4 linked regions of the Tamandua tetradactyla genome follow. The protein of the gene in region 4 purifies or fractionates together with the protein of the main gene of each other region. This does not show direct contact. Links are inferred from orthologs where the notes say so. Each region holds a gene or a part of one and is shown on either strand. Other genes may lie near its edges.

Region 1 (7,041 bases), on a different chromosome or scaffold from region 4:
CCGTTTGCCCTCAGGTTTGGGCCACTTGTGTCACTGGGCTGAGTCCACTCTCCTGAAAACCCTGAGGCAGGTGTGAGTGGCCTCCTCACCCACCGGTAAGAGGTGTTTCGAAGCTCGCTGATGACCTGCGTGAGCTGCGAGTGGGTCCTGGAGGCATAAATGATCTTTGGGATGTCCGTGTAGCAAGCTGCCCAGGCACAAAGAGGCACAACAGGTTGTGGTCAGTCAGTGATGGGACCACAAAACTCTGAGTAGATGTCCTGAGTGTTTGCTTGCCACAGGGGCATCTGGCTAACTCAGTCCTGCAAACACTAGGACTCTTTTACCCCAGATAATTATTCTCCAGAAACAGTATATATGGATTTCTGTACTATCCTAACTCAGCAAAAACCTCTGACCCAACATTTACCCCTGGATGGCGAGATATGATGTGGCACCTACGAAATCTTCTATGCGTGGCTCTGCTCAAGGGACTGCAGAAGCCAGGGGCCTCACCCAACCCAGACTCCATTCTTCCCCTTTCCATCCCCACATGGCAGTCTGAGAGAGGGCCTGGGAAGAAGCATCACCTATGGTCTCTCCACTGGCGGTGGAACTCCCCCAAGACGAAAAGGCTGGATCAGGAAATAGCTCTCCCTGAACCCTCTCAGCAATCTTGTGGGCAGAGATGGTGTCTCGGAGATGCTCCCGCCAGGCCAATGTGGTGCAGAGGAGGCACAGCGTCTTCCCTGTGCCTGTGGGGCTCTCCAGAATGCCGCTGACTTTCTGAGAAGGGACAGGGATGATGTTATGGAGAGGGAGGGGGAGGGGAGACCAAAGAGACCCTGTGAGCCATGCACACCAGCCTGAGACAAGCTCTGCGAGTGGCTCTGTGGGCAGCAAAAGACCCCTGGCAACATGGCGAAGTCCATCTTACATTTTCTACTCTCATTCCAAAAGCCTAAGCTGATTCAGCCCTCATTAGCAGACAATTTTCAGAGCATTATCCAAAATGTGACAGTATTTTTCAACCTAATATAAATAGGAAGATGACTAATTAGGTGCCAACTCTCAAAATAGGAAATAGTTCTGTGATTCTGGTATTTGCACTCCCCTATCTGAAAGGAATCTGATTCTGATGGCCTACATACAAGCTCTCAGGTTAGAGTCCAATCAGGAAACTTAGGGGGACATGAAGGCAATTTCTGCAAAAGCTGAGCTCCCAGCTGCCACGAGAATGGAACTTGGGCTCCTCATTACAGAAGACTGCGCACACACAGCACTCAGGAGCCCATGGGTCACATGTGAACCAGTCACAGGTGTTGCTGATTGCAGAACCAGTCCCTAGCGGCTGGGGGAAGCCAAGCAGGGTACAAGAGACAGACTGAGAAACCAAGAAGAAAGCAAACCTGTCTTCTTCACCTTCCTGAACACATACAAGTTTTAAAGGCCTCCCAAAGTGAGGACTGACACTGTTTCCCTCTCTGGCTCTTCCTCCAGATCTCTGGATGGCTGGCTGCTTCCCACCATGCGCCTCGGCTCAAGCCTTTTCCTCAGAGAGGGCCTGAGTCACTCAAACATATCACCTTGTTTTTTGTGTTCACTGCACTTATCAACACAAGACAGTCCCTTTTTCTTTACTTATCATCTCTTCTACCCCAACTAGAACACAGGCCCTATTTACAACCGGGTCCCCAATGTCCAGGACAGTACCTTCCACACAGCAGGACCTAGTCTGAACAAAGTGGAAGGTAGAACTTCAGCAGGCCTTTATTGAAGCTGACCCATCCCCTGGGCCCAGTGTCTGTAGGGCTCATGGCTTTTACCTTCTGTAGACATTCCAGGACCTTGGCCATGTATTCCTGTTGACATTTGTACGGCTGGAATGGGAAATCCACTGTCACACCGTTCAAGGTTATCTTGGGCATACCAGCCTGTTCTCAGGAGAGCAGAGGTTGGCTGCAATGCAGACTGTTCAGGTGTGTGAGACAAAACACTCCTGAAAATCTCAGGTAAGCGATGCCAGCACCTGGAGCTGGGACACACGTTCTTCACAGGAATCCCTATGGCACAGACATAGGGACAACAAGACTGTTTATAAACAGCCTTTCTGGGTACCAGGCTACTGTGTCAGTCATCCCAAGAAGTGCCTCCCCATGGAGAAGGTCAGAGGGCAGGCCCTGTTATATACCATCACAAGGAGTTTCAGAAGTGATGATGCTAAGTTGAGTCAGCCCCGGCCACACAGAACTCCATTCCGCTTTGGAACAGGTGGCCAGTCTCACTGGGATGGTGAGAGCCCAAGTCGGGCTCAACTCTACCAACTTGCCCCATCAGCAATAATTCACTCACTTCCACAAGTGTGGGGGAGGCTGAGGACCTAGCAGCGCCCTCCCCTACCAGGGCCGGGAGACAGGCAGGGTGGAGCGTCTGACCCTCCTGCTCCAGCGTCTCCCCAGCAGTCTGCTACCTTTGCTGCGCGGTAGCCACCTGTACTCTGACCCGGGACTCAAATCTGTGTGACCCTGGACGAGTCGCTCAACTTCTCTACGCTCGGACTCGTCTAGAAACTGGGAATAACAGAGCAGACGCCTAAACTCGGAACAGCAGATTTTCCCTCCAGGGAAGGAAACGTACGGCCCGGTGAACCGACGAGCGCAGGAAAACTACCGGCCCCATAAGGCCGCCTGCCCGCGATCCCGAGGGCCAGGCCCTGCGGGGAGATACAGTTTCGGAAACCCAACCCGCCGACAAGCGCTCGGTTCGGTTCCAGGGTGTCCGCGGCGCGCGGCCCGAGAGGCTCCAGTACCTCACCCAGCTCCGGTGCGAACGCCGCCACCACGTTCTCGGCTATCAGCAAGTTCGGACTTGGCGGGCTAAGATGCGCAGTCACTGAAGCGCTGTATTTCCGCCCTCATTTCCGGTCCGTTGCGAAATGCTCTCGGCGGAAACCGTTCCCCGAGCCGCAGGATCCGTCTGTGATGTGAGCGACCCGGCGTCGCGCCGTCTTCGCTGGTCCTGAGCTCCGCGACCGGGACAGGCAGAAACAGTGCTCCACGGTCTCCTCCCTCGATGTCACCTCCCACCATGGCTTCTTCCGCCACCCCCCCGCAGGGGACAAGCCACCCCATTGCCAGGTTTTCCCCTCTTGGAGTGTGAGGGCGTCATGGAGGGCAATTGTGGCGGCCCAGGCCTGTAACCAGGCCCCTGAGAGCCTCAGCAGCTCCTGTCATTCCTGCAGGCAGCCTCCCCTACTGTCAATGCCAGGCCCCCGGTGATCCTCAGCACCTAGTGTGCGCTGGAGTGAACGGGAGGGACGCCCCCCCTCCCCAGGGGGAGAGGGGTCTACACAGTTGGTGGAATGTGCTCTCTGCTCGGCTGTTGCCACCAGAGATGTTTGTCTCAGACCACCCCAAAAGGCACCAGAAAGACTAATGCCGCAGCGAGAGCTCTGGCAAGCTGGAAACACTAATCAGAACTTCTGGTGGGTGCTACTGAGCGTCCAGAGACTCTCCTGCAGATCCCACGTGTGTCATCATGTCTGGGGAAGCCCTGGTATCCACCCCAGCTGGCCTGTTTGGGTGAAGGGACTTGGGATTGTCGATCATGGAATCTCAGAAGGGAGCTTGGAAAAGATAATGCTCATCAGGCACCAGAACCTGGCTTCAGGGCCATCCACTTAGGCATTGGTATTCCTCCTCCCAAGAACCTCTTACAGGTGAGGAAGCACGCACAGTTAGCAGGTCCCCAAAGCCAGCAACTAGCAATTTGAGGAGCCAGACTCCCACCTCTCCCCTTGGCTCCCCCCTATTCCAAGAGCAGTTGCTTCCATTCCCCAGAAGTCCAGGAAGGGAGGCCTCCTCCAGAGACTTGGCCGCTTCCCAGAGCTGAGGGCCCCAAGCTCCTGAGTAGATGCTGTACAGGTCACGAGGGGGTTCCTCTGGCTCCATGGGGACCCCAAGCAGCCTGCAGCCTCCTGGGATGAAATGCATAAATGCCATTTTACTAAACCTAACTAAACCTGAGAGATGAGGTATAGGGAAAACCAAAGCAGACCAGAGCCAGCTTCGCTTGGCAAGCCACTTACTCTGCAGGCTCTGGGGAGCTCCCTGAGCACACAGGGTGCCCTCTGGCCAGCAGGACCGATGTTAACCAGTCACTCCATGATTGTGCGACCCTTTGGGATGAGTACCATGGCGGGGGGGCTTAACCTTATCTGTAGGCCAGGGAAGGCTTCCTGGGAATCGATGCTGGCCTGGGGCAGTGTTGCTGGCACTGGGGAGGAGTCAGTGGTGAACAAGGGAGAGGCACTCCAATGTTGCAGAGCCCAAGGAAAGCCCAAGAGGTGACTGAGAGTTGCAGAAGCAGACACTAAGAGCCATAGAGGGACTGCCCGGCCAAGAGGAGGATCATCAGGGTGAAATGTGACTGTCGTGGAAGGTGCCTGATGAAGACCAGGCAGGGGAAAGTCTGCAGCAGGTCTGGGGTCTGTTGGCTGCCAGTGGCCCTAGGAGCTTTTGCCCTGGCCTGGGATTATCAGGGACTGCTGCTTCCCATCCTGGCCGGGCCCCAAGGACTGCCTCCTGAGACACCAGCTGCCCTGTGGGAGGTCCAGGTCCTCCTTCACGCTTCACTGCACCTGATCTAGTGAGTGTGGAGGACCAGAAGGTGGGGGGCACCTTGCTGGTCATGTGGGTGGTGGGCAGTAAGCAGACAACACAACATATTGGGGTTCATAGGTGCTTGCATGAACAATGACACAGGGTTAGGGGACTGAGAGTGAGAAGGGGCAGGTACTGTTTGGAATGAAGTCACAGAAAGCCTCTGAAGAGGTGATATGTGGCTATTTGCTGATGTTTTCCCAGCCCAGCACATAGCAGGTGCTCACTGGCTGAATGATCAGGTGACCAGCCAAGTGCAGGGTCTTCCTGGGAGGTGCTAGGCTTAGTTTCAGGAGCTCAGGTAGTGTTCTAGTTTGCTAGCTGCCGGAATGCAGCACACCAGAGATGGATTGGCTTTTAATAAAAGGGGATTTATTTCATTAGTTTTTCAGAGGAAAGGCAGCTAACTTTCATCTGAGGTTCTTTCTTACGTGGGAAGACTCAGGGTGATCTCTGCTGGCCTTCTCTCCAGGCCTCTGGGTTCCAAAAACTTTTCCCGGGGTATTTTCTTTCTGCATCTCCAAAGGCCTGGGCTGAGCTGCAAGTGCTGAGATGAGGTATGCTGAGCTGCTTGGGCTGTGCTACATTGAGCTCTCTCATTTAAGCACCAGCCTATTAAATCAAACATCATTCACTACAGCAGGCATGCCTCTTCGCTGACTACAGATGTAATGAGCAACAGATGAGGTTCACGTATCATTGGCTCATGTCCACAGGAACATAACTAGGCACCTTCACCTGGCCAAGTTGACAACTGAATCTAACTAGCACATGTCCACCCATTGTCAACTTGGCAACTATACGCATCACCTTAAACAATATTAAGGTGCAAAAAATTCTCTTCTAGCTGTGGACCTATGAATCTCAAAACAAGTTATCTGGTGCCAATATGCAAAAGGAGGACAGTCACAGGATCCATAGGGAGAAACTGGAAGGAAAACCATCAGGGCAAACACCATTGATTTCAAAGTCTGAAAGTCATTTATCCTTCGGCTTTAGGCACACTTCCTAGCCCACCCTATTCTGGAGAGATTTAATGTGTTTCCATTTATTTGCAAGACAGTTGAGTATTGTTAGGTGAAAGAAAAAATGTATGTTTTATTGTTTTTTATTTAGAAATTAGGTATGGTTTAGGGTGGTATGTATAGCTGCCAAGTTGACAAGGGGTGGACTGTCATGTGTCAGCTTGGTCAGGTGGTGGTACCTGTTTGTCTGGTTGGACAAGTCTGTTGCTATGAGGCTATTTCATAGAATTAAATCATGATCATGCCAAATGCATCCATAGCTGATTCCATTTGTAATCAGCCAAAGGGGAGTGTCTTCTGCAATGAGTAATGCTTAATGTGATCACTGGAAGCCTTTTAAGGAGGATTCAGAAGAGACAGGCTCTTCCTGCTTCAGCTGGCGAGCCTCTCCTATGGAGTTCATCCAGACCCTCCATTGGAGTCATCAGCTTCACAGCCTGCCCTGAAGATTTTGGACTCTGCGTTCCTGTGGTCACATGAGACACTTATAAATTTTATATTTGTGAGTGTTCCCTGTTGATTCTGTTTCTCTAGAGAACCCTAATACAGGTAGAAACCTGACCTACAAAGAGTCATTCCTGGGGAACATCTTTGAACAGCTGCTCACAAATTTCCTACAGTCGACCTTGGCAGGAAGTAAGAATCTGCTCCAAGACTTGGCATTGTATTGGGCAAGCATTCAGTGTATACCTACTATGTACACCCACCATATGTCTGGCACTATGCCTGGGCTTCCTGTGGTCCAGATGAGGAAGCAGGGACTGCAAGAGGACGTGCCCAAAGTCGCAGGAGTTTCCCACTGCACGCCCACACAGGAAGACTCTGGAGGTGTCCTGATCCCAGCACATGATGCTGGGACAGTCTCCGTGGACACCGCAGTGGCTGGCAGCCCTTTACGGAGGACACAGGTCACTTCCCCCATGATACACACCACGGGATAAACAGATCTGTGTGTGTCTTCTGCCTCTTGGCTCTTTCCCAAGCTCAGTGCCCAGGGCGGGTTGGGGGACTTGGGGTCAATATGTGTACTATGGCTGCATAGCCAGTAGCTACCCCTTTAGCAGCTTAAAACATTACCTGTGTGTCCGCTCACAGTTCTGTAGGTCTGGAGCCAGCTCAGAGCATCATCCCAAGGCCTAAATTAAGATGTTAGCTGGGCTGCATTCTTGCCTGGAAGCTCTAGGGAGGAGTCTACTTCCAGGCTCACTCTTGCTCCTCGCAAAATTCAGTTCCTTGGATCTTCCAGGTCAAGATGGCGGCTTAACAACGTGCACATTTTAGTTCGTCCTCCACACCAACTACTAAATAACCAGAAACAGTACAGAACAGCTCCTGGGGCCACGATAGTGACCAGATACACAGCATACCCAAGTCTG
Region 2 (7,371 bases), on a different chromosome or scaffold from region 4:
CAATCAGAAAGCTCCCAGCCAGCAGTATTGAATGGGGATTAAAGGACATGGCTTTTCCAGGATCCACCACAGATTCAAACTGGCACAGAGTTGCTATCTCATTGTCTTCTTGATTTGCATTTCCCTCATAGCTAGTGAAAATGAGCATCTTTTCATGTGCTTTTCAGCCATTTGTATTTGTTCTTCAGAAAAGTATCTATTCATATCCTCTGTTGATTTCATAACTGGGTTCTTTGTTGTTGAACTGTATAATTTTTTATGTACACAGGATTTCAAGCCTTCAGCCAATATGTGGTTTCCAAATATTTTCTCCCATTGAGTTGGCTGCCTCTTCTTTTTGACAAAGTCCTTTGAAGCACAGAAGCTTTTATGTTAAGGAGTTCCCATTTATCTATTTTTTTCTTTTGCTACTTATGCTTTAGATGTAAAATTTAAGAAGCTACCTCCTGTTACTAAATCTTCTAAAAAATATTTTTATTGATAAATCTTCACACACATTTTATATATATGGTGTACAATCAGTGGCTCACAATATCATCACATAGTTTTGTATTCATCACCATGATAATGTTTTTAGAATATTTTCATCACTCCAGAGATAGAAATAAAAAGAAAAATGAAAAAACTCCCTTACCCCTTCGTCTTATTGACCACTAGTATTTCCATCTACCCACTTTATTATACCCTATGTCCCCCCATTATTTGTTCATTTTATAGCCATATTTTTTTTACTCATCTGTCCATACCCTGGATAAAAGGAGCATCAGACACAGGTTTTCACACAGTCATATTGTAAAAGTTATATCTTTATACAATAGTCTTCAAGAATCAAGGCTAGTGGAACACACAGCTCAACAGTTTCAGGTACTTCCCTCCCACCACTCCAATATACCATATATTAAAAAGGGAAATCTATATAATGTGTAAGAATAACCTCCAAGATACCCTCTTGAGTCTGTTTGAAATCTCTCAGCCACTGAAACTTTATTTTGTCTCATTTTCTCTCTTCCCCTTTTTGGTCAAGAAGGCTTTCTCAATCCCTTGATGCCGGGTCCTAACTCATCCTGGGATTTCTGCCCCATGTTGCCAGGGAGATTTATACCCCTGGAAGTCATGTCCCATGTAGCGGGGAGGGCAGTGAGTTCTCTCTAAGTCAAATGCTGAGTTGGCTTAGAGGGAAAGGCCACACCTCAGCAACAAAAGAGGTTCTCTGGGCATGACACTTAGGCCTAATTTTAAGTAGGCTTACTAGCTTTTCCTTTTCAGGAATAAGTTTCATGGGGCTGAACCCCAAGATTGAAGGCTTAGCCTATTGATTTGGTTGTCTCCACTGCTTGCAAGAATATCAGAAATTGTCCAAATGGAGAAATTGAATATTTCCTCCTTTCTCCCCAGTCCCCCAAGGGGACCTTGCAAATACTTCTTATTTTTTAAAAATATTTTTATAGCCAAATCTTCACAAACATACAGTTCATACATAGTATACAATCAGTGGCTCACAATATCATGACATAATTGTGTATTCTTCACCATAATCATTTTTTAATGAAACATAACCACATACAAACACAAACATTCTTATCATATGATCATTCCATTCTGGTTATATAATCAATAACTCACAAAATCATCACATAGTTGTATATTCATCATTATGATCATTTCTCAGAACGTTGAAAATACTTCTTGATCCACTTCCCAAATTACTCTGGGATGTATCAGGGCATCACACTAACCTGTAGAAACAAACAAGAGCTCATGCCCTATTCAAGATTCAATGTACTTATGGTGTTCAACTAAACTGACCATACAAGTTAAATTAGGAAATGCACTACCCAAAATATAAATTTCGCACCAAATAAACAGCTCTCCCCTTGTTCTCACACAGAAGTTGAAGTTTTAAAATATAGATGATATCATCCTTTACCTTGTATTCTAAACTACCTTAGTATCTTCATATCATTCATATATCTACTCAAAATTAGATCCCTTTTTCAACTTTTTAAAACAGTTCCTGTATCGGAACTGCTGACTTCCATAGCTTCAGAGCTCTAACTCTGAGTCTCAGATGTCACATAAATAGGATTTCTTCAAATGGCTGACTTTTGATTGTCAATTCATATTTAGTCAAATATTAATCTCCACATGCAGGGGCTGCATTTGTTAAATGGTGGGCTTCAGTTTTGTCCAGGATCACCCATTGCCAATCATTAAGGTCTTTTCTCTTTCACTGTTCAGTTTCTCCAGAGAAGAAGTTTCTAATTTCTGCTTGGGGGAAGGTAGTGGTGGAGCATGGTGTAAGACTAATGGCCCAAATCCTTAGGGACAACTGGAGGAAAGGGATTGGAGGTCCTACTATTCAGTACGTGAATTTCACATAATCCCATTTGTTCTAGTTTGTAAGCTGTTGGAATGTGATATAGTAGAAATGCAACAGCTTTAGAAAGAGGGATTCTGTAAAGTTGCAAGTTCACAGTTCTAAGGCCATGAAAATATCTAAATTAAGGTGTGCAGGGAAAGACGCCTTGGTTCAGCTTTCTCTCTCAGCCGGAAAGGCAACTGGTAAATGTGGCCACATCTGCTAGCCTTCTCTCCAGGCTTCTCGAGTCATGAAGCTCCCTTTAACTCCAAAGGTCTCTGGCTGCGTGGGCTGTTAAAGCTTTTTCCAAAATGATTGCCTCAAGCAAGCACCTTGAATGGGTAGAGACACATCTCTGTGGAAACCATCTAATCAAAAATTACCACCCACGATTGGGTGGGTCACATCTCCATGGAAATGATCAGAAAGATCCCACTCAGCAATACTGAATGAGGACTAAAGGACATGGTTTTTCCTGGATCTACAAGAGATTCAAACTGGCACACCATCTTTATTTCTGTACTCCATCTTCTGCTAATGTCTGGTGTCCTCAAATCTGGAGTCCTTCTGGCTCAAGTCCTCTGGAATGAACAGTGTAGATGAGGTTTTCACCTTAAGTACCAGCGAAGAAAAGGGTGTGGAGGGCAGCTGGCTCCTTGCAGATGTCCAGCTGGTACTCCTGCTTTTATTTCCACCCCCCACCCCCCTCCTCAAAGGTACCAGGGCTTCTAATTCCTGAGTCTTTTCAGGAACCACTGGACTAAATGAGCTTGCTTCTTGGCTTACCTCTGGGTAAGCAGGTGTTCAGTTTTCTCAGGTCAATAAAATTCTGCTTTTCTACTTCAAAATTTGTTCACAGCAATCTCTGGTATTGCCTGGTCTTGTGGATTTTTCTTTGTTCTTATGGATTTAAGTGTTTATTTACTTTACTGTCCTTTTAGTAGTGTTTCTGGAGGGGGTAGATATAAATGTATGGGTTTAATACATCATCTTCAGCAGAGGCCTGGGTAATTCCGTGGGATTGAAGTAGGGAAGATTCCAAACAACACCCAAGAAAGCACCAGAGCCTCTGAGAAGTGGATAAAACTTTTATTGCCCTAGCAGTCTCAGAGGACTCCTGTCCAAAGTTTGAGCGCCGAATAGTCTTTGTTTCCAGATTTATAGGCTAGTGAGCAGGGTGGGAGTTACTAAGGTAACGGGCCGTAAACACTGGAAAAGTACAGAAACAGAACTTGCAGGGGAGAACAGCAGAGCTCTTCTGGCTGATACCGGCAGCTCCTGGATGTGACAAGAACAGGTCTAGCAGACATCCTGTTTTGCACGCCACTATCTTCGGATATGCTTAAGCCTGGACGTCATTAGCAGCACAGCAGACATCTGTTTTTCTTCCTTCGAGAAAGCTTGCATTTATATATATTTATAAATGCAAAAATTTATAGAGTGATGCACACAAATATACAGAGTAATACACATTAAATGCATAAAGTGATACACATGCATGCATAAAGTTACACAATACTGACGTTAAACTTGTAAACTACCTCAGGATGAGTTCATTCTCCAAAACCAGAGTGATTTAAAAAAAAAAAAAAGGCCGATCTTGTCTCGTCCCAAGTTGAAAGCCAGCAGAGGTCCCCGTTCACTTAAACTAAACCCCGCGGTACCGGAGCAGGCCCGGCCGCTGCGGCTTCGCCCTCACCCTCCTTCCTCCCCTCAGGACACGGCTCAAGGGCCGCCCCGGCAGCCCTGCCTGCGTCTGGCCCACCACCCCCACGTCTCATCGCTCAGTCTGCTCCGCCTCTCTGGTCCAGCAGCGCCGGGCGCCGGGTACCGGCCACGGGCCTCCCGCAGAAAGTTCCGAGAGGGTCTCGGTGAAGCGAGCAGGGCGAGGCCGCCTCTTCCCGCCGCCGGAAGCCGCCGGCGCCGGGCGGAAGCGAACGTCGGGGAGAAGCGTGTCCCTCGCGGTGCGCCGTCGGCGCCGGTGAGCGCATGCGCGGCGCTCTGCGCGGGAGCGGGTCGGCATGGCGTTCCGGCAGGCGCTGAAGCTGGCGGCCTGCGGGCTGGCCGGGGGCTCGGCTGCCGTGCTCTTCTCGGCCGTAGCTGTGGGGAAGCCCCGCGGGGGCGGAGACGCGGGGCCACGCGCCCCTGAGCCTCCGGGTTGGGCCGTAGGAGTGCGGCCCGGGCCCGGGGTCTGGGATCCCAACTGGGACAGGTGCGCCGCCCGGGGAAGGGGGATGGGGCCGTTCTCCGGGGAAAGGGGCAGGGGCGGCCTCTGGATGGGTCTTGGGGGAAGGGGGGGAGGGGTCCGAAGCGCGGAGAGCGTCCGCGCGGAGGGAGCCGGCCTGTTGCCGGGCGGCGTTCTCTTCCTCAGGTGGGAGCGGTTGCCTCGTGCCCCCGGCCCAGGTGTCTTACGGTTTATGTTGTCAGCTTCAGGAAAGGGAGGGCAGCACGCAGCCTGAGTGATTTTGGGCGACCCTCAGCTTTCGCGTGTGTACAGGGTCCTTGTTTCAAGCAGTTGGTGAAACTAGGAGAGCGCGGCACCTCACCATTCCCCGAGGGGTTAGTTTTAGTCTAGGACAGAGGCTCAGAACACTGGAAGGCTGACACCCTTGTTGTTTTCAACTTTTTTTATCTGGGAATTGGCCCGATGTGTTGACAGCTAAGAGAAAGAGTTGGACGTCCGAGTCCTAAGATAGATTGCATGCTGGGGCAGTGAGTGATCTGACCCTAAAGGGGGACTCTGCAGAGGGATTTGTGTGAATCAACCTCCTGTTTGTGGGACGATGTGGCTAGCAGGTCTTGTGAGTTGAAACACGAGTCTCTGGGCTCAGGGTCTGGTGTCGCAGCCGCTGTTCTCGCAGCCGCTGGTCTCGTGCTTTTGGGCACTTAAAATGTGATCATTGTGATTTAGGAACATATTTTTAATTTTATTTAAATTTGAAAACCAAAGGAGTACCCAAAAAACGTCAATATTGATTATATATTGGAATGATAATGTTTTTGTTATATTGGGTTAAATAAAATATTACTGAAACTTCACCAATTTCTTTCTTTCTGTTTTTTTTAATACATGGGCAGGCACCGGGAATCAAACCCGGGTCTCTGGTATGGCAGGCGAGAGCTTTGCCACTGAGCCACTGTGGCCTACCCTCACCCATTTGTATTTACTTTTCATATGTATCTATTAGAAAATAAAATAGTATTTGTGTTGCTGACATATTTTTACTGGATGGAGCTTGGCCAAGGGGCAAGGGTGGCTGGTGTGGAATGGTTTACCCAGTTCCTCTCCTCACATTTGGTACTTCAGTCCCAGGCACAGGAGTATTGTTTATTGTGAGTACAGTTTTGACAGGAATTTTGATATCTTTTCAAAAAAAATTTTCTTTTTACCTTTAACTGTAAACTATTTTAGAACAGTTATAAATTGAGAGAAAAAATGGAAAGGTAGTACAGTTTCCATAGATCCATACCTAGTTTCCTCACTATACTCCTTCATAATACCTGGTTTCATTTTCTCTGTATCATTTATTGGTTACTGACATTGTTTTTTTTTTGGGCAGCCATCTGTCTCTCCTTCTTGGAACCCAGATTGCCTGTGCATACACTTGTCTGTTTTGTTCACTGTGTGAACGGTTCCTGGAACAGACCTGGTTCTCACTCTGTGGGATGAGTGACTTGTGCACTGAGAGGCTGGGTTCCCTGGTGATGATGGCAAGGCCCCTAATGAGTGACGGAGGCCATGACCTCTTCCCATGCACGCTGAAGTCTGAAAGATTGCTCTTCCCAATTAGTCTGACAATTTGGAAGTAACATGTGGTTGAAAATAATCGAAGGTGTGTTGTAACCAGGGGTCATGGGGACAAAGCAGTCTATTTTAATATTAGGCGAGAACCACTGTCTCTCATCAACCTGCGGAAAAGAAACCTGGAATCTGGAGAAGAAGAACTGGCGTCCAGACTGGACCACTGCAAAGCCAAGGCCACACGACACATCTTCCTCATCAGGCACTCCCAGTACCACGTGGATGGCTCCCTGGAGAAGGACCGCACTCTGACCCTGCTGGGTATGTGGTGGGGGTTTCACGAGCCTCCTGATCCCCTCTGGTCCACCTCTTAGTGGTGCCCGTGAATCTGTGTTGCAGACTCACATGCCTTAATTAGCAGTGGAGCCTCGCTGTGACCCAGGATGTACCTTTTAAAATGTCCTTTAACCCAAGAAAAAGATTGATAGATTTTACCTGAATGTGGTCAGATTCATTGCACACGTGAGCGCAGTGTGTTCTTCCCTTTATGCTCTCAAGAGCATAACCTATCCTGTTTTTTGTTTTTTTTACTTAATATGCTGAAGAACCTTCTATTCAGATCTTACACATCTGTCTGTTTATGGTGTTTAGCTGTATAAAATCTAACCAGTCCCCACTGTAGGTGTATTGACGTCTTTTTTTTAAATATAGTTTTATGTATTTTTAAATGAGAGAAGTTGTACTTTAACTGAAAAATCATGTGCGTTCACATATAATCCTCCCATTATTAACACTTTGCATTAGTGTGGTACTTTTGTTACAATTGATGAAAGAATATTATAATTGTACTATTAACAACGGTCCATAGTTTACTTTAGGTTGTATTCCCCCCCCAATATACACCCTGTTATTAACACTTTGCTTAAGTGTGATACATTTGTTATAATTCGTGAAGAAATATTTTAATAATTGTACTATTAACTATAATCCATTGTTTACAATAGAGTTGACTGAATTGTACAGGCCTATGCTTTCTTTTATCTTTTAATTTTTATTCTGGTAATGTATATGACTTAAAATTTTCACTTTTTTAATGTAATTTTATTGAGATATTCACATGCCATAAATTCATCCAAAGTATACAATCAGTGGCTTACAATATCATCACATAGTTGTACATTCAACACCATGATCAATTTTAAGACATTTTTATTACTCTAGAAAAAGAAATAAAATGAAATAGAAAACCCAAAGTATTCCCTACCCCTTA
Region 3 (7,970 bases), on a different chromosome or scaffold from region 4:
ATAATTTGTATAATATATCATGACCACTAAATAATTTACGTTCACTGAAGCAAAAACAAACAAAAATAGCAGACAAACAAAGAAAACACTAGATATTAGCAAACCTTTCTGAGATGATCAAAGACAGAACCACTAAACGGGTCACAGATATAAAGCGATCTATCATTCTCCTTTATAGTCAATGCCTCTTCTTCTGTAATAATCTGAAGATATTCTTCTGATTGGAACTCTTTTATTGACTGAAAGAAAAATAAAATATGAATGCACCTGAAATTAGTCACCTGTATTTAAGTCCTATCAACTCTGTCTTTAAAAGCCATCTCAAATCCAGCCTCTCTGCACCTTAATTGTTGCCACCCTACTTGTACACTATCATCACCTCACCTAGACCTCTGCAGTAGCCTCCCTAGTGGTCTCCCTCTCCTTTCCTTGCCCTAAATCAATTCTCCATATAGCAGCTAGTAATATTTTTTAAAAAACAAACAAGATCATATCACTCTGCTCAAAATCCTCCAATGGCTTCCCACCAGACTCAGAATAACAGTCTATGAGACCAATCTGGCCCATTTGTCTCCCCAACCTCACTTTCTACCTGTTTCCCTTCTTGCTAATTCTAGCCAGTCCAGCTTTCTAGATGAAACTGAAACAAGCTAAGTACAATCTCATTTAGAGGCTTTGCTCTTGTTCCTGCTGCCTGTAATGCTTTTTGACTGGTTTGATCCCTCATTGAAGCTAGGACTCTGATCAAATGTCACCTCCTCAGAGATGTCTTTCTTGACCGTGCTTTCTAACATCATTCCCTCATGTCTTTGGTCTGTTTTATGAAACAAATAAGATGGACACTATGTATATAATTTTTTGCCTCTCATCCCCCTAAGAACAAAAATTTCATGATCCATCTTATTTGCCAATATATCCTAGCACCCAAGAAGCACTCAATATTTTCTCAACAAGTTTCGAAGTCCTTATGTTAAATACTTAGAGTGATCCTTTTAAAATGATAAATCAGATCATGTTATTCTTCTGATTAAAACCCCCTAGTGGCTCTCCACTCTACTGAGAGAAAAGCCAAAGTCCTCACAACAGCCCACAAGGCCCTACAAGGCCTCTTCGCCCTTACTCTCAGAAGTATCCTTTAATATACTTTCCCTACTCCCGTTCACTCCCTATAACCACACTAACCTTCTTACTATTCCTTAAACAGATACTTCAAGCCCATATATCTTCCCATGGGCCTTTGCACTGGTTGTCTCCTTGCCTGAAACCTTCTTTCTCAAATATCACATAACTATCGCACCACCTTCAAGTTTACTCAAGCATCACCTGCTCCATACAACCTACTCTAATCACACTATTTAAAATCCTAACTTTCCGTTCTCCTTCCCCCTAACAAACATCTTTTGGAATTGGCTAACCTGTTGTGATTTTTTCCCCCTCTTTCCATAAAACTTAGAATCTCCTGCTAGAATGTAAGCTCTGAGAAAACAGGGATCTTTGCCTGCTCTGATCACGGATGTATACCAAGCACTACAACAGGGCCTGCAAATCACACACACTCCGTAAATATTTGATGAATGAATGAACTATAAGGAAAAACCTGCTACATCAGTGTTTCTCAAAATTTAATGTCCACAGGAATCACACAGATGATCTTGTTTAAATGCAGATTCTAATTTCTAAGTCTGCAGTGGGAACAGAGAGTTTTCATTTCTAACTCCCAGGCCACGCTGATGCTTCTGGAGTCTGTGAGCACCGAGGCTCCACACCACCTGTACACCCTATGTTATGCTGTACATAATGAAGCATGCATTTAACAATTAAACAAAAAAATGCTGATGTGTAACCAATACAAAATTGAATGAATGCTTTTCCACACACAAGGACCATTGGTTAGGAGACAGAAGGTAACTTGATTTCCAAAAACTGCAAGTCAGCCACATCCAAGAGAAATGTCATAATAGTTTCAAGCCCTCCAAAATACACAATGATATACCTATCTATAGCAATTAAAAAATAGGTAACAATAATCTCTACATTTCATGGAGGCTATGGTAGAACTATTATGAAACATCTATTACTAAGGCAAAAAGAGCCCAATAAATCAAAAGTACTAAAAACAAGAAAATTAATTCACAGCGTCAAACAAGACATTTTCAACTATTCTTACCTCAAGAGCTTTAAAAAAACATTCGGAATTGTCTGGAGATTTTAAAAACTTCACAAAAAACGGTTCTTTGTCATTTCTGGACATTTTTGAACTGCCGAAATAAAGGAATCATTAACTAGAACAAAACACATCACATGTGAAATTAAAATTTTAGAACACCTATGTTTCTGTGCAAACAAGAGTTCCTAAGGATAGCCATTCTGGCCTTCCTATATATTTGTCCTGCACGTTTGTAAGGAATTTGGGTAAAATCAAGGAAAAAGATGACACCAATCCTAGCAATTCAGAAAACGAAGCTAAGATCCCCAAACTGAATGCTTCGAGGAAGGGCCCTTGCTGTGAGGGCTCTAAGTCCCCTCAGCAAATGACATCCGATTGCACACAGCTTAAAGATCCTCAGAGGATACCACGACCCTCAAGGATTGTTTACCCCTCCATCAAAAACGGATTTTTCCATATGAACAGGGAAGCCAAACAGCAAGATCAAAAAGCCAGAAAATCCGCGTCCCTGCTTTTAGGGAAAGGCCTGACTCCCGTCCAGCCGCAGTCACGTCCTCTCGGCGTCAAAGTCCCACCCGCCGATTCGAGGGCCGGTTGGACCCGCAAGAAAGGAAGGCCCCGCAGGCCCCAGGGCGCGTTGGGACCCCTGGTTGGGGGCAGGAAGGAGCCAGATCCTTACTCAACGCCGCACTCACCTCGATGGAGCCTGGGGGCCTTCAAGAAAGGAGTGGGGAGGCGCGCGGCCGGCAGGACAGCGGCGGGGGTCGGGCGCCACCCCGGGGCTCAGCCACCCCACCCCGCGGCGCCCCCAACCCGGAGGAAACGCCGGAGAACCCGGAAATTGCCGGACAGTGAACCGACTTTCGCGCCAACCGCGGCTGTGCGACCGCCTCTTCCGGCGGAAGTGACCCGACCAGCCGCTGCTACAGGAAGGCGGGAGACGTAGAAAGTGAAGTAGTTACGGCGCGCAGCCGAGGTGGGGCGCTGTGCCCGGCGGCCAAGGATTTACCCGGAGGATTGGAGCGAGGCTCCCGGATTGAGGGCTGTGCGGGACTGAGCGGGGCGTCACTCAGGGTTGGCCGAGCGCCCAGGATTCAGGGGATGGGGCTCACGAGAGCTTTTGGAGCGTTAGCGGGGGAAAAGGAGTGTTTTCCCAATAGACATTTAGTTTACACCTACCGTAGGGAGGCAGTGCTCGAGAAACCATGCATTACCATGCAAAACGACTTTGTGAGCCAGATAGTGGCATCTCCATTTTACAGATGTAACAAAATGAGGCTTATAGAAGTTATCTGATGTGTCCAAGGTCACGCAGCTAAGGTAAGGACTGGATCCAAGTCTTTTTGATTAGGCTTTTTCTCCTCCAACATAGCAGGAGTAAATCACCTCTTAGGGCTCTGAAAGCAGGAAAGATGGCAAAATGACTTGGATTACACAGTGAATGCATGGGTGGGAAGGTTTGCCAAGCTCTTCGATGGACTCTGCCCCCTTCCAAGGCTGTCCCTTTGTTTTTGCACCTGCCTGATTGTTGGGGAGGTTCTGTGATGGAACCTAATGGTAAAATGGAAAAGAGCAGAAAAGGAAAGAAATTGGACTTTTAGAATCTAAGCCCATGCATAACCAGTGAAAAACTGCTTAGCTAGTGCTAGTTCTTATTTTATTCTTGACTATTGAAATAGAGAAGATCATAACTTTGGATCTAGTAGTGTGAGATTTTAATGTCATGTGCTTAGTTTAGTTAAGTTTGTTTTTCGTTTTAGAAACAGTGAGGCACTTAGGTCCAAATGTGTGAATACACCCACAGAAGGTGAGTGAGAGTCAGTATCTTGGGGCTCAAAGGTAAAGGTCCATGGTTGAGGAGAGCCTTAAAAACAAAAATTACTAAAGCCGGGGGAGTGAGGGGAGAGAAGCCATAGTTACTTGTTAAGATGCACATCTGTCATATAGCTATGATAACAGTTAACATTTGTAGGGCATTTTACAGATGACAGAGGCTTCTGCTTGCGCTGTTTCCATTTGCTCTTTTCAGCAATCCTACAGTATGTGGGCATTACTGTCCCACATTATGTAGATGGGAAATCCAAGGCTTAGGCTGTGTGACTTGTCCAAGGCCACACAACCAGGGAGTGGCAGCACCCAGTCTTGAGAGCAGGTAGCGTGACTGGAAATCCTTCCCAATCCACCACACTGCTCTGGGTTCCATGCTGCCTGCCCATCTCAGTACAAAGGTCAGCAGCCCACAGAAGCCCATTTCTGGCATTTATGGGACTAAGTGGAAGCCTCACGGAGGAGGGAATTCTAGATGCTGGAGATGAGGAGGAAAATAAAAGCAACCCCTCAGCTTTTAGCAAACTGGAATTCCATAGCAGGGGGAGTCAACCTGGTCTTTACAATAGGAGACCGCCACCTACTGACAAGTTCTCTTTTTTTTTTTCCAGAAACTTGTAATTTTATTGAGATAGCATCAATGAAAGATAATTAGACCATCTTAGGATCCCAGATTATTTAAAAGATCTAACTAATTTAAGGCAGTCATAGAAACGGGAGAATGATGCACTACTATATGGTCTAAAAACGTTCACTGGCAAAAAGGCAGAACACTGATTTGCGAACAGTTCAAAGAAAATCTTACAGACAAAAACAAAACCAGTTCTGGTAGGGAGGGGGGACTCGGTGTCCTGCTGGCATCCGTGGCCCTCCCCTATCCCCTACTTCCTTGTCCCCTACCTTCAAAGGTGTGTGATTTGAAAACTACTTTCCTAAGTTAAGGGGCATGTGCGTCCGCAAATGAGGACAAGGATAAGCAAGTGAAATGTAGGCAGTGGTTCTCCAAGAGTGATCACCTGCATCAGCATCACCTGGAAACTTGTCGGAAAAACAAAAATTTGGGGGACTGACTAAGTCAGAAGCTGCAGGGAGGGCCCAGTGATCTGTGGTTTAACAAGACCTGCCCCGGAGATTCCGATGCCCATTAAAGTTTGCTTCAACAGCAATTCTTTGGAGAAGGGTGAGTGGGTATGTGAGTTGTGGTCCATGAATGAGGAATGTTTGTGATGTGCTCTCAGGCAGCCACCTCAGGAGCTAGAATTGGAGATTAACTTTCCCCTCACCTGCCCAACGAACCCTGTTTCTCTGGCACTGCTGTCACCTGCAGCCAGATGTGCCATATACAGTTTGAGATGGAGTAAGGGGAATTTTATATTGATCTGTGTTTAGAATGAAAAGCCTAGGAAACAAATGTGACAAAATTGTGACTTTTAAAATATGGGTAGTGGAAATATGAGTTTTTACTTCTTGTTATACCTTGCTGCATAGAAAAGATTTCTCAAAATGAGAAAAAAAAAACTAAAAATAGATGTTTTGAATGATATGACTTTATGTCTCAATTTCCAGTTCTGTGAATGAATAAACATATATGCATAAATAAATGTATAATTTAAATATGAAAATAGCAAAAGGTCTTTATTGCTGCAGAAATGCAATGGCAAAACATTTGTCTAAACGTTTGATTTCAGTAACCGGGAAGAGAGAATATAGGCTTACTGAGCTGCTAAGGTCTCGAAAGAGGAGAAAATTACAATGTCAGCGGCACATTTGGATACTACTGGCTGTGTTTAATAAAGTATTATAAGATAGAGAAAACTCAGGGAAGAATTATCCTGTTTTCAAACAAAAATAGAAGGGGTTTTCAAGGTTGGAAAAGCTAACTTCACGTGAACCATAAAAACAAGAGATATATCTGAGAGAGGTTTTGAGTGGCAAAGGTCCATTAAGATCCATGCATGTGGAAAAGATCTAATTAAGAGTGTGGTCCTTCAGGTGAGCTAAAATATATATATATATAATGGGGGGGATAAGGGGTTAAAAACAAATTGGGTAGATTACAACACTAGTGGTAGTGAGAGGAAGAAGTAAGGCATATATGGGTTTTTTTATTTTGACTTTTTATTTCTTTTTCTGGAGTGATGCAAATGTTCTTAAAATGATCATGATGATGAATGCACAAGTATGTGATGATTCTGTGAGTCATTGATTGTATACTTTGGATAGACTGTATGTTGTGAAAATGTCTCAATAAAAATATAGAGTGTGGTCCTTTCACTCCAGTAGATTAAGTGAGAGAAGGAGTTATGGGGCCAAGAATAGAAAGCAGACTTGAGAGTTGTGTCTAAGAAAGATATGATGTGGGTGTGGCTGCAAAGATATAGGCCCAGCCCTGCCATGATGTCCTGGTGGTTTTGCACATATCCTTGTAGGCAAAGGCTTGAATGGCAGTTTATTTCAGTCTTGGCAGAACATTTTGTGATCCTGCTAGAACACGAGAAGATGGAAAGTTTCTTAAGGAACTGCTACAATACCATCTCCCACTTGTCTCCATATCTCCCTCGAAGGCTGTCATGAGTTTCTCGTCACCTCCCAGGTTCTGCTGGGATAAGGGTCTGCTTGCCCACCCCACCCCCAGACTAGAACAGCAGAATATCAAACCACTTAGCTACTGTCCAGATTTGGCTCCTCAGCATGGAGTATCCCACAACTTACACTGTAGTTAATCAACCCCTTTTGTTTTGGTGTCATCCCTTTTGGTGTCTAGGACAAGAATCCAGAGCCCTGGCACTTTGGGCTTATTCTTATTTTCACTATCTGTGTAAGTAATCTACGGTCTAAATCTGTAAGTGGCTCATTACATCTTTACGCATCAAATCAGTCAGGCTTTGCCCTGACCTTGTCTTGTGAGTTTGACAACTACAAAGCAAAGCTAACTAGAAGCAAATGGATTTGAAGGTTACTAAGATTTTGAGATAACTGCTTTGCCAAGGAAACCTGGAGTACTCAACTGTGATACAACCTTTAAGCTTGCACAGCAGGAAGTAGATGCAGAAGTCATACAGCCCCCCAAAAGAGTAAACTCCCCAATGTTGTAAACCCTATCGGTGGGATATTCTACTCTGGTGTGCGTTCTACTGTGACTCCCAGAGTTTCCCCAGTGGCATTCAGCTCCAGTTTCCTACAGTGGCAAATGACATGTTAATACACCCTTTTGATGCCCTCTGTATTACACAGAGTTCTCCTGAAAAACGAAACAGATATATATATAATATTAAGAGATCTATTATAGGAATTGGCTCACATGACCATGGGGTTTGGCAAGTCCAACTTTCTTAGGGCAGGCCACAAGTTGGGAACTCCGTTGAAGGTAACCATGAATTTCCCAGGAGAGGCTGGCTGGCTGAATTAGTAATAGAAATTCTTTTTTCTGACTGCTGAAATCCTCAGTTCTCCCGTTGAAGCCTTCAAGTGATTGGATGAGACTCCTCTCATTGCTGAAGGAAATCTCCTTTGTTGATTATAGATGTAATCAGCCATAGACACAACTAATGATTTAAATCCACAGGATATCTGCACAGTAACAGTCAGGCCAGTGCTTGCTTGATCAAAGAATTACACACCGTAACCTACCCAAGCTGATACATGAAATCGACCAAAACACCTTCCTTTCCCTGTTTTATTTCTCTACTCTATTTACCTTTTTTTTTTTTTTTTGGTTTCCAAATATAACACTTAAAATGCCTCATCTAAGAGTCTGCTTCTGAGGAATCCAAGTTAAGACAGAAGACCCAAGATTTCTGATCACCCCCCTTTTTTGTTGTTATTTATTTATTTATTTTTTGTATGTAGCTTTATTTATTTTCTTTTTCTGATCCTCTATTGTACTATAGTGTTGTTGCTAAGAATTAGCTGCTCAGCCAGAGATGTTATTTTCCATCCCTTACATCTTGCGGGAGTCATGTGACTGAGTTATGGC
Region 4 (7,219 bases):
ACTCTGCAGAGTTGAATAGTTGTGACAGAGACCATATGGTCCCCAAACTTTGAAAATATTTACTTCCTGGCTCTTTTCAGAAAGTTTTTCAACCCCTGGTTTAAAGTCATAGAGGTCACTTTGGTTTCCTCTCTGGAAATGTTTGGCAGTGGCTCCGGCCCAGTTACCTGTCTGGGTGCTGTGCTGATCCCCCGCAGGAGCAAGCACATCTCTCTCCCCATTCGCAATGGGAGCTGCTGCCCTTTCTTGTAACTTGGTGGCCCTTGGCCTTTTAGTCTGCGGAGGCCGGCTGCCAGACCGAGGTTTCTTCTCCTTGGGGCCTTGCAGAGTCTCCTTCTTGGTAGTTTGTTGGGACCTTTTCAGTTTGCTTCTCGTCTGAGTGCTATTTGAGGCCTTTTGTGTCTTTTTTTCTTCTGATACTTCCTTGTTTCCATTCTTTTTCACCCTTTGGAAAAAGCTGGCACAGAGTTCTTTAAAATCATCATCAGACTCATCCATCATGTGACCAGTTTTAAGGCTTTCAGGCTAGTTCCAGGGGAGAGAGAACTGATCTGGGTTGCATATACACAGATGAGAAAGTGAACCCAAGTACCAGGCCTCCTCCAGACTCACAGCTTCATTAGGGTTCCTCTCTACTTTTCACCGAGAGTCTGCACAATTGAGCAAGAAATGCTGCTTTCCCCTCCATCATAATTTAGAATGTCTTTCTTCAAATTGGGCCCATGGTTAAACATGTTTTAAACTTCCCTTTGTTAAAATTCATATTTGAGAGAATGTCTTGTTGTCCTTTAGATGTCTCTGAGACAGAATAGATACAAACTTGGTGCTCAGATGATTCTCCACTATCGCCACGGTGATGAGGAAGGCTTGGCCCACTGAATTTCATATCTGTGGAAAACCAAAAGCATCTATTTGTAATTAGACAGCTACTGCAATTTGATGTTATTTCTCTCAGGAAGGTACATATGGGATATGGGAAAAGTCTTCAGATACTAATACACCATCAAATACTCAGGTATAGACTGGTTAACAGGCTAATCATCCTACGGGATATCATAGTACAACAGAGAAAGATCTGGGAACCTGTCATAGCATATTCTTCCACAGGCAGAATAACACATGGGTCATCAAAGAGTATTATTTTTACAAAAATTTTGGAAATGAACCCCATGAAGAGCAGTCACCCCAGAAACAAGATGGTCCCCAAATCCAGAAAAAACGATCTCCTATGCTGATCTAAGGCCCCTGGCTTTAGAGGCTCTATTGGCTGACATTGAAATATTAGAGAAAGAATAAGCACTTGAACTCTCAGGAGAAAGCAAACAGTAGGAACACAGGAAGGAGAAGTGATAAAACCAATTTTTTCCAACAAAAAAGATGCCACTTTTCTCCATCCTCTCAGCCCAGCAAGGGCTTCCCCAACTCAAAAGATGAGAATGCTGCTCAATGCAGAGGTGGTGCAAATGAGTAAGATTATTTACTTTGGTAGTTTAGTGGGGCTCAAAAATCAAACTCAAATGATCCAATGGTAAAAAATTCTTAATTTCAAATACAATAATGCAATCTCCACTGTCCAAGTAACACAATCATTTAGTTTTCCAGAGCTGAGCAGACAAATATACCCAGAGTTACTCTGCATAGCTGGCTCATTCTTATCTTCGATGTCACCTCCTTAAAGAAGTTTCTCCTAATTCTTTATCTAAGTGGATCCCCTCCACCTCCCACCATCACACACTGTTTTCTCCACAGCATTTACCACGAGTTATAGACATGTGTAACTGATAACATTTATGAATGCTCACCGTGTGCCAGACATCATTCCAATTGCTTTAGAAGTCTTTAACAATTTTAGTCCTTACAACGATCCTAGAAGGCAGAATCTCTTGCCATCCCTCCTTTACAGCAAAGACACAGGTCCAAAAAAAGAATGAATAACTGGCTCAAATTCACAGAGCTTTTAAGTGACAGGGCCGGGATTAAGCCTGTGGAGGCTGCTTCCAGAGCACCTGTTCTTACATTCTTATTCATTTACTTATTATCTGTCCCACTGAACTGAGAACGTCAAGAGGGCAGACTCACCCATCTTATTTTGTTTTCCCTTTGGCTGATACATGTAATAAGTGCGCGACAAGGATTTCTTGAATGAATTAACTGCAAAGAGTTTGGCATAACCGGAGCCAAGAGAAAGTGCAGGGAGAAGCAGGGATCAGCTCACAAGGGACTGGAATGACAGGCTAAGCAAACTGAATTCTAGCGCGTCGGCTGTAGGAGAGGGTTAGAGCCCATTCCACCTCCTTTACAGCTGCACCGAGTCTTCGCACCTCTGCAGATACTCGTCTTAAAACAATCCATCTCCTATATGAGCTCAGTCAATATTTGCTGTAAGACGTTAACGGTTCCCGAGAGACTGGAGGCTTCCAGAGGGTCGGGACCATCTCCTACCCAGCTGAGGAGCTCCCGCGGCGTCTGGCCCACCGCGCGCGCGGATGAACGAATGCAGGGACGAGTACCCGGTGGACCCACCCCCTCCCCTTCCACCATCAGCCCGGCGACATACGGAGGGAGGCCGGGGGATCGGCCTGGGGAAGGACTGCCAAAGACCCTGACGGCTGTAGAGCCAGACGGAGAATTCCGATCGCGGTGAACCCTCCGGACGCCAGGAAGACCCTCGGGCTGCGGCCGCGGGAGGTGTCCGGGTGCACCTACCCTCTCTTCCTCCTGGCGGGTCCCGACCCCTCGCCGCCCGAACGGCACTCCGGCCTCTCCACCGCGGCTGCGGGCCCGCCGAGGCCAGGGAGGTAGAGAGAAAGACGCCTCTCCCTCAGGACGCAAGCGGGGCCCGAGGTGACAGCGCCTCCTCCTCCCGGGTGCAGGTCCCAGCCCCACAGCCCAGCCCCTCCTACTTCCGTGCACCGCGGCGGCGCTTCTCAACGGAGAGCCACGCGCCTGCGCATGCGCCGCCTGGCGCCCTCGCGGAGAGTCCTGTTTCTGCAGGCGCGGGGTGGTGTCAGCTTCCCATCGTCCTTTGCGGCCACGGGCGCGCGGGATTGTGTTTCCGGCTGCGCGGGGCTGAGTTTCCGACAGAGTCTGTGACCGCCGATCCTTGATGGTGTTGTTGTGTGTTGAGGGAAAAGCTGGGTGAGTTTTGGGGCGTTGTTGCAGTTTTAAGCTCAAGTTTGGTTCTACCACAGTTCACGTAGAAGATGTTTGGGGCTTCAGTGGGGCCCCTTCGGAGCTCCTTTCCTTGAGGAGCAAACAGGAGGAAATGCAGTGAGGGGATGTGAAGAGGCGCCGAACGCGGTCTGAAGGGATCCCAGGTGGATTGGGGGTGGGGGTAGCACGTGAACTGAGACCTGAAGGTGATATCCAAACTCATCAGTCTGGCTGGTACGAAAATTGTCAAGAATTTGAAGGAAAGATGAAGCTGTAGAGGTTCGTCAGGGGCTGAAATTCGTTTTACGGGTTTGAACTGCAACCGGACGGGTCGCTGGGTGTCGTTAAAGATACTGTTTTTAAAGGATGTTCTGGTCACAGCGTGAAAACGATTTGGGAGGGATGCAGGTGTGGTTCAGTGGTAAAATGCTCGCCTGCAACCCGGGAGATTCGGGTTCTATTCCTGGCCCATGCACCCAAAAAAAAAAAAACATTTGGGGGACCCAAGGCATGAAGACCCATTGGGAAGCGCCCTAACCTAAGTGAAAAGTAAGAGCGACCTGATTTAGGGGTTAGACTGTAGGGGAGTGGAGAGAATGGAAGAGTATTAAGGTGGTAGAATTGTCATGACCTGATTATCTCTTACAATTTGTAGGTTTCTGACCTGAGCATCTGGGTAGGCCCAGTCAACAAAATGAACACAGGAGTAGGTTTGGAGGAAAGATACTACGTTTTGGGTTTTGTGGGGTTTTTTAAATATGTTTTTTTATATACCATAACTTTCACCTTTTTAAAGTGTTCATTTAAGTGGTTTTGGTATATTCAGAGTTGTGTAACCACAACTCTTTATTCATCTGTTGATGGCGTTTGGGTCTCGCTGTTTCCGCATTTTGGCCATTAGGAATAATGCTGCACTGGACAATTGGCGTGGAAGTTTCTGTGTTTTTCCTTTGAGCATACACCTTAGAGTAGACTTGCTGACTTGTATTAAAATTTACTTTTGAGTGTTGAGTTTCAAATGCTAATAGAATTGGCAAGAACTTTTTCTGCTTGGAGCTAGGTGGTGTACTCTGTTGTCTGGTAACTTATCAGTTTGTAATGTGGTTTCCATACGGAATAGTTAAGTAGACAGTGCAGAGACATGGACTGGGACGATACAGAGGACAACTGTAAAGGTGTAGATTATTTTTTCCAGTCAAAGAAAATGAGGGATCTGACTCCAAATTAGTACTTAAATCTCTTAGAGGTACAATGAAGAAAGCTTCCTTGCTCACCCAGCACTCCTCACCCCCCAAAATCTGGCCGTGTTGTTTTTTAAGCAAAATGAGTTAAAGATATAGTTTAGAGAGGGGCATATTCCTTAAACCTGAGATTCTCAACTGACTGGCCCATGTTTTTGTGGTTTAATTGGAAACACTTGGACACTACTCTTAGCTCTGCTGGTTAAATCTTGGGGGAAAGTTTACAACCTGTGTCTTTTGAAAGTTTCACAGATGATTCTCATGGCCTCTAGATTAAGAATCTAGATGTTTAACCAACATCTAGATGTTTAACCAACATCTGCTGAGCAAATTCTGTGGGCTAAGTATAGAAGAGATGCGACGAGATGCTTAAAGGGGGTGAGGAGTAATTGCAATGTAGAGCTAGATGTGATTCATGATTCCCCCCTTCAAGGAGCAAAGTTATTCAGTAACTGGGGCAGCTTTCTGTTTGACCCAAGGTGAGCCATATGAACCTCCTGTTGTGATTTATCTCCAGCAGAAGCTCTGGATTTCATGCTTTTCCCCTGGAATTAGGCACAAGTCACCCAGTGTGACTAAGCTGAGGGACATGTTCCAGAAGCAGCATTACTTGAACCATGTTAGTTCAGAGGGAATGCTACTATATATTTTCTGCCAGCATGTGAGGCAGAAACCCGCAGAGCTGCCAAAACACTGAAGCCAAGGAGAGGATGGAACATTTCATATTTTAAAAGATTGGGATTATCCTCGTTATTTATAAACCTTAAATATTTGTCAGAAAGAGAAAAAGGATGCAGAAATGTGTGGAAAAATTTTTGCACACTGTAAAGAGTGTTAATACCAAGGAGAGATTCTTTTTCCGAGCCCTTATGAATAGATCATTTTGGGGTCCAGGGAAAGCAGGCAGAGGTTGAATATATATGCTGTGATTATCACTTCCTTACCCTCCTGGAGTATTGCCTTTTTGGAAGCTCTTTACATATTCCACTGAGTTAATGTTTAAAACTGTTCCGAGAAAGAAATGAAAGGCCCTTTTCCCAGTTCTTTGGGTAGCTTGTAAATCATAAAAACAAAACCTGCCCAGCTCCCTCTCATTTATCTTGGCAGCGATTGGGAATAGAGGACAGATTGAAAAAAGGAAGAATTGTCTTTTCAGGTCTGTGGTCATATAAACTCATTTATTTACTGTACAGTAATCCCATTTCCTGCACTGCCAACGTTCTTGAAAACAGGAGGGGAAATAACTGTTTTTACATGTCACGGTGTACAAAAAGTATTCTAGATTATGCTGCATAACTCAGTATCTTCTACCAGTAACACCCTTTGTATGAAGTTCTACTTAGGAGTTTTGCTAGATGGTTTTAAGGGGATTCCATGCAGATGTACTGGCCTCAGCTGCAAAACAGCTTTTCCCCTAGTATTGATAATGGTACTCATAATTTTGATGTTAAACTGTTCCATCTTGTTAAGATGGCAATATTCCCCAAAATGGACTAGAGATTCAGTGCAGTCACTATTAAAAATCCAACAGCTCTTTGTACTAAAACGGCAAAGCTGATCCTAAAATTCATATGGGATTGCAAGGGATCCCATATCTATAGATTCAACCATAAAAAAGAATGAAGTTCTGATAACATGCGACCACATGGATGAATCTTGAGAAATTTAAGTGAAAGAACCCAGACAGAAAACACCACATATTATGATTCCATTTATATGAAATATCCAGAATAGGCAAATCCATAGAGACAGAAAGCCAGGGCCTAGGGGGAGGGTAGAGTAGGCGTGATTGCCGTAATGGATATGGGTTTCCTTTTGGGGTGATGAAAGTGTTTGGGAATTAGATAGTGGTGATAGTTAGGCAATTGCAACTACTGAATGACACTGAATTGTATGCTTTAAAATAGTCAAGTTTATGTTTTGTGTATTTTACCACAATTTAAAAAAGAATTTTTTCTATTAGACTTTGGAAAGATCTTATTTAGAATGGTTTAAGGCCTTCTGGGTACATTTTCTTACTTTTTGCAACAGCACCTTTTAAAATGTTAAGCAATCCATGTACGATTCTATAAATATACTAAAAACCATAGAATTAAACACTTTTTTAAAAGGGTGACTTTTATGGTATCTTAAGTATATCAAAAAAGCTGTTTGAACAAATTATAAATAATAATAGGTAAGCCAAAAATAAAATTAAAAATCCATGCCTTCGCTCTTACAATATGCTTATTTTTAATGATTATAGTAATGGCCTTTTATTTAAAAAATAAAGTACTTCAAAAGAAAATGAATCGCCTCCTTCCACCTTGTTTTATTCCCCCCTCTCAGAGGTATCCGGTGTTATGTTTGATGTATATCTTTTCACTTCTATCTGTATTTTCTTATAAGAATATAAACTTTTTCTGTTAGGTATGCTTTTACAAAAATGGAGTCATACTATTCACATTCTGTATTTTGTTTTTCTTACATATCATGAACATTTCTCAAAATCATTAGAGAGAAAGCTATGTTATATTCCACATTCATTCAAGTATTCCCTTACTGATAAAAATTTGGTATCCTTTATAGTTTTTGTCACTATAGATAGGGCTGCAATAAACGTCTTGTACATATATTGTGTGTATTTGTATTTATTTCTATGGGAAAGAGTCCCAAACATAGGATTGCGGGGTTAAAGAGTATGTTTGTTTTATCGTTTTACCTTTTGTTTTGGAAAAGGTAATACAAGCACATTGTTAAAAAAAAAAAAGTTTTTCAGGAACATCAGAAAAATAAAAAAAGCTCTTCTCCCTTTTGGCCCCCAGTTCCCTAGACTCTCAGAGATT

What was found.
Region 1: the proteins of SLX4 (region 4) and RTEL1 purify together in Homo sapiens (affinity purification with mass spectrometry; 3 studies listed by BioGRID, with this or other methods). This does not show direct contact. The link is inferred for Tamandua tetradactyla from reciprocal best matches to the Homo sapiens genes SLX4 and RTEL1.
Region 2: the proteins of SLX4 (region 4) and PGAM5 purify together in Homo sapiens (affinity purification with mass spectrometry; 4 studies listed by BioGRID and IntAct, with this or other methods). This does not show direct contact. The link is inferred for Tamandua tetradactyla from reciprocal best matches to the Homo sapiens genes SLX4 and PGAM5.
Region 3: the proteins of SLX4 (region 4) and TOPBP1 purify together in Homo sapiens (affinity purification with mass spectrometry; 3 studies listed by BioGRID, with this or other methods). This does not show direct contact. The link is inferred for Tamandua tetradactyla from reciprocal best matches to the Homo sapiens genes SLX4 and TOPBP1.

What each region holds. Positions count from the first base shown.
Region 1 is NC_135327.1:61,106,702-61,113,742, reverse strand, and holds the start of RTEL1 (regulator of telomere elongation helicase 1), read right to left. Parts: upstream 3,019-7,041; 5' UTR 2,789-3,018; intron 2,043-2,788; 5' UTR 1,908-2,042; coding exon 1,806-1,907; intron 766-1,805; coding exon 570-765; intron 188-569; coding exon 94-187; intron 1-93. UniProt on the Homo sapiens protein: A probable ATP-dependent DNA helicase implicated in telomere-length regulation, DNA repair and the maintenance of genomic stability. Acts as an anti-recombinase to counteract toxic recombination and limit crossover during meiosis.
Region 2 is NC_135331.1:1,082,977-1,090,347, reverse strand, and holds the start of PGAM5 (serine/threonine-protein phosphatase PGAM5, mitochondrial), read left to right. Parts: upstream 1-4,364; 5' UTR 4,365-4,380; coding exon 4,381-4,571; intron 4,572-6,243; coding exon 6,244-6,422; intron 6,423-7,371. UniProt on the Homo sapiens protein: Mitochondrial serine/threonine phosphatase that dephosphorylates various substrates and thus plays a role in different biological processes including cellular senescence or mitophagy. Modulates cellular senescence by regulating mitochondrial dynamics.
Region 3 is NC_135341.1:77,439,794-77,447,763, forward strand, and holds the start of TOPBP1 (DNA topoisomerase 2-binding protein 1), read right to left. Parts: upstream 3,013-7,970; 5' UTR 2,863-3,012; intron 2,283-2,862; exon of another isoform or gene 2,259-2,282; 5' UTR 2,252-2,258; coding exon 2,168-2,251; intron 240-2,167; coding exon 105-239; intron 1-104. UniProt on the Homo sapiens protein: Scaffold protein that acts as a key protein-protein adapter in DNA replication and DNA repair. Composed of multiple BRCT domains, which specifically recognize and bind phosphorylated proteins, bringing proteins together into functional combinations.
Region 4 is NC_135349.1:53,706,592-53,713,810, reverse strand, and holds the start of SLX4 (structure-specific endonuclease subunit SLX4), read right to left. Parts: upstream 3,013-7,219; 5' UTR 2,904-3,012; intron 2,898-2,903; exon of another isoform or gene 2,707-2,897; intron 2,664-2,706; exon of another isoform or gene 2,558-2,663; intron 2,480-2,557; exon of another isoform or gene 2,080-2,479; intron 2,043-2,079; exon of another isoform or gene 1,803-2,042; intron 889-1,802; 5' UTR 502-888; coding exon 168-501; intron 1-167. UniProt on the Homo sapiens protein: Regulatory subunit that interacts with and increases the activity of different structure-specific endonucleases.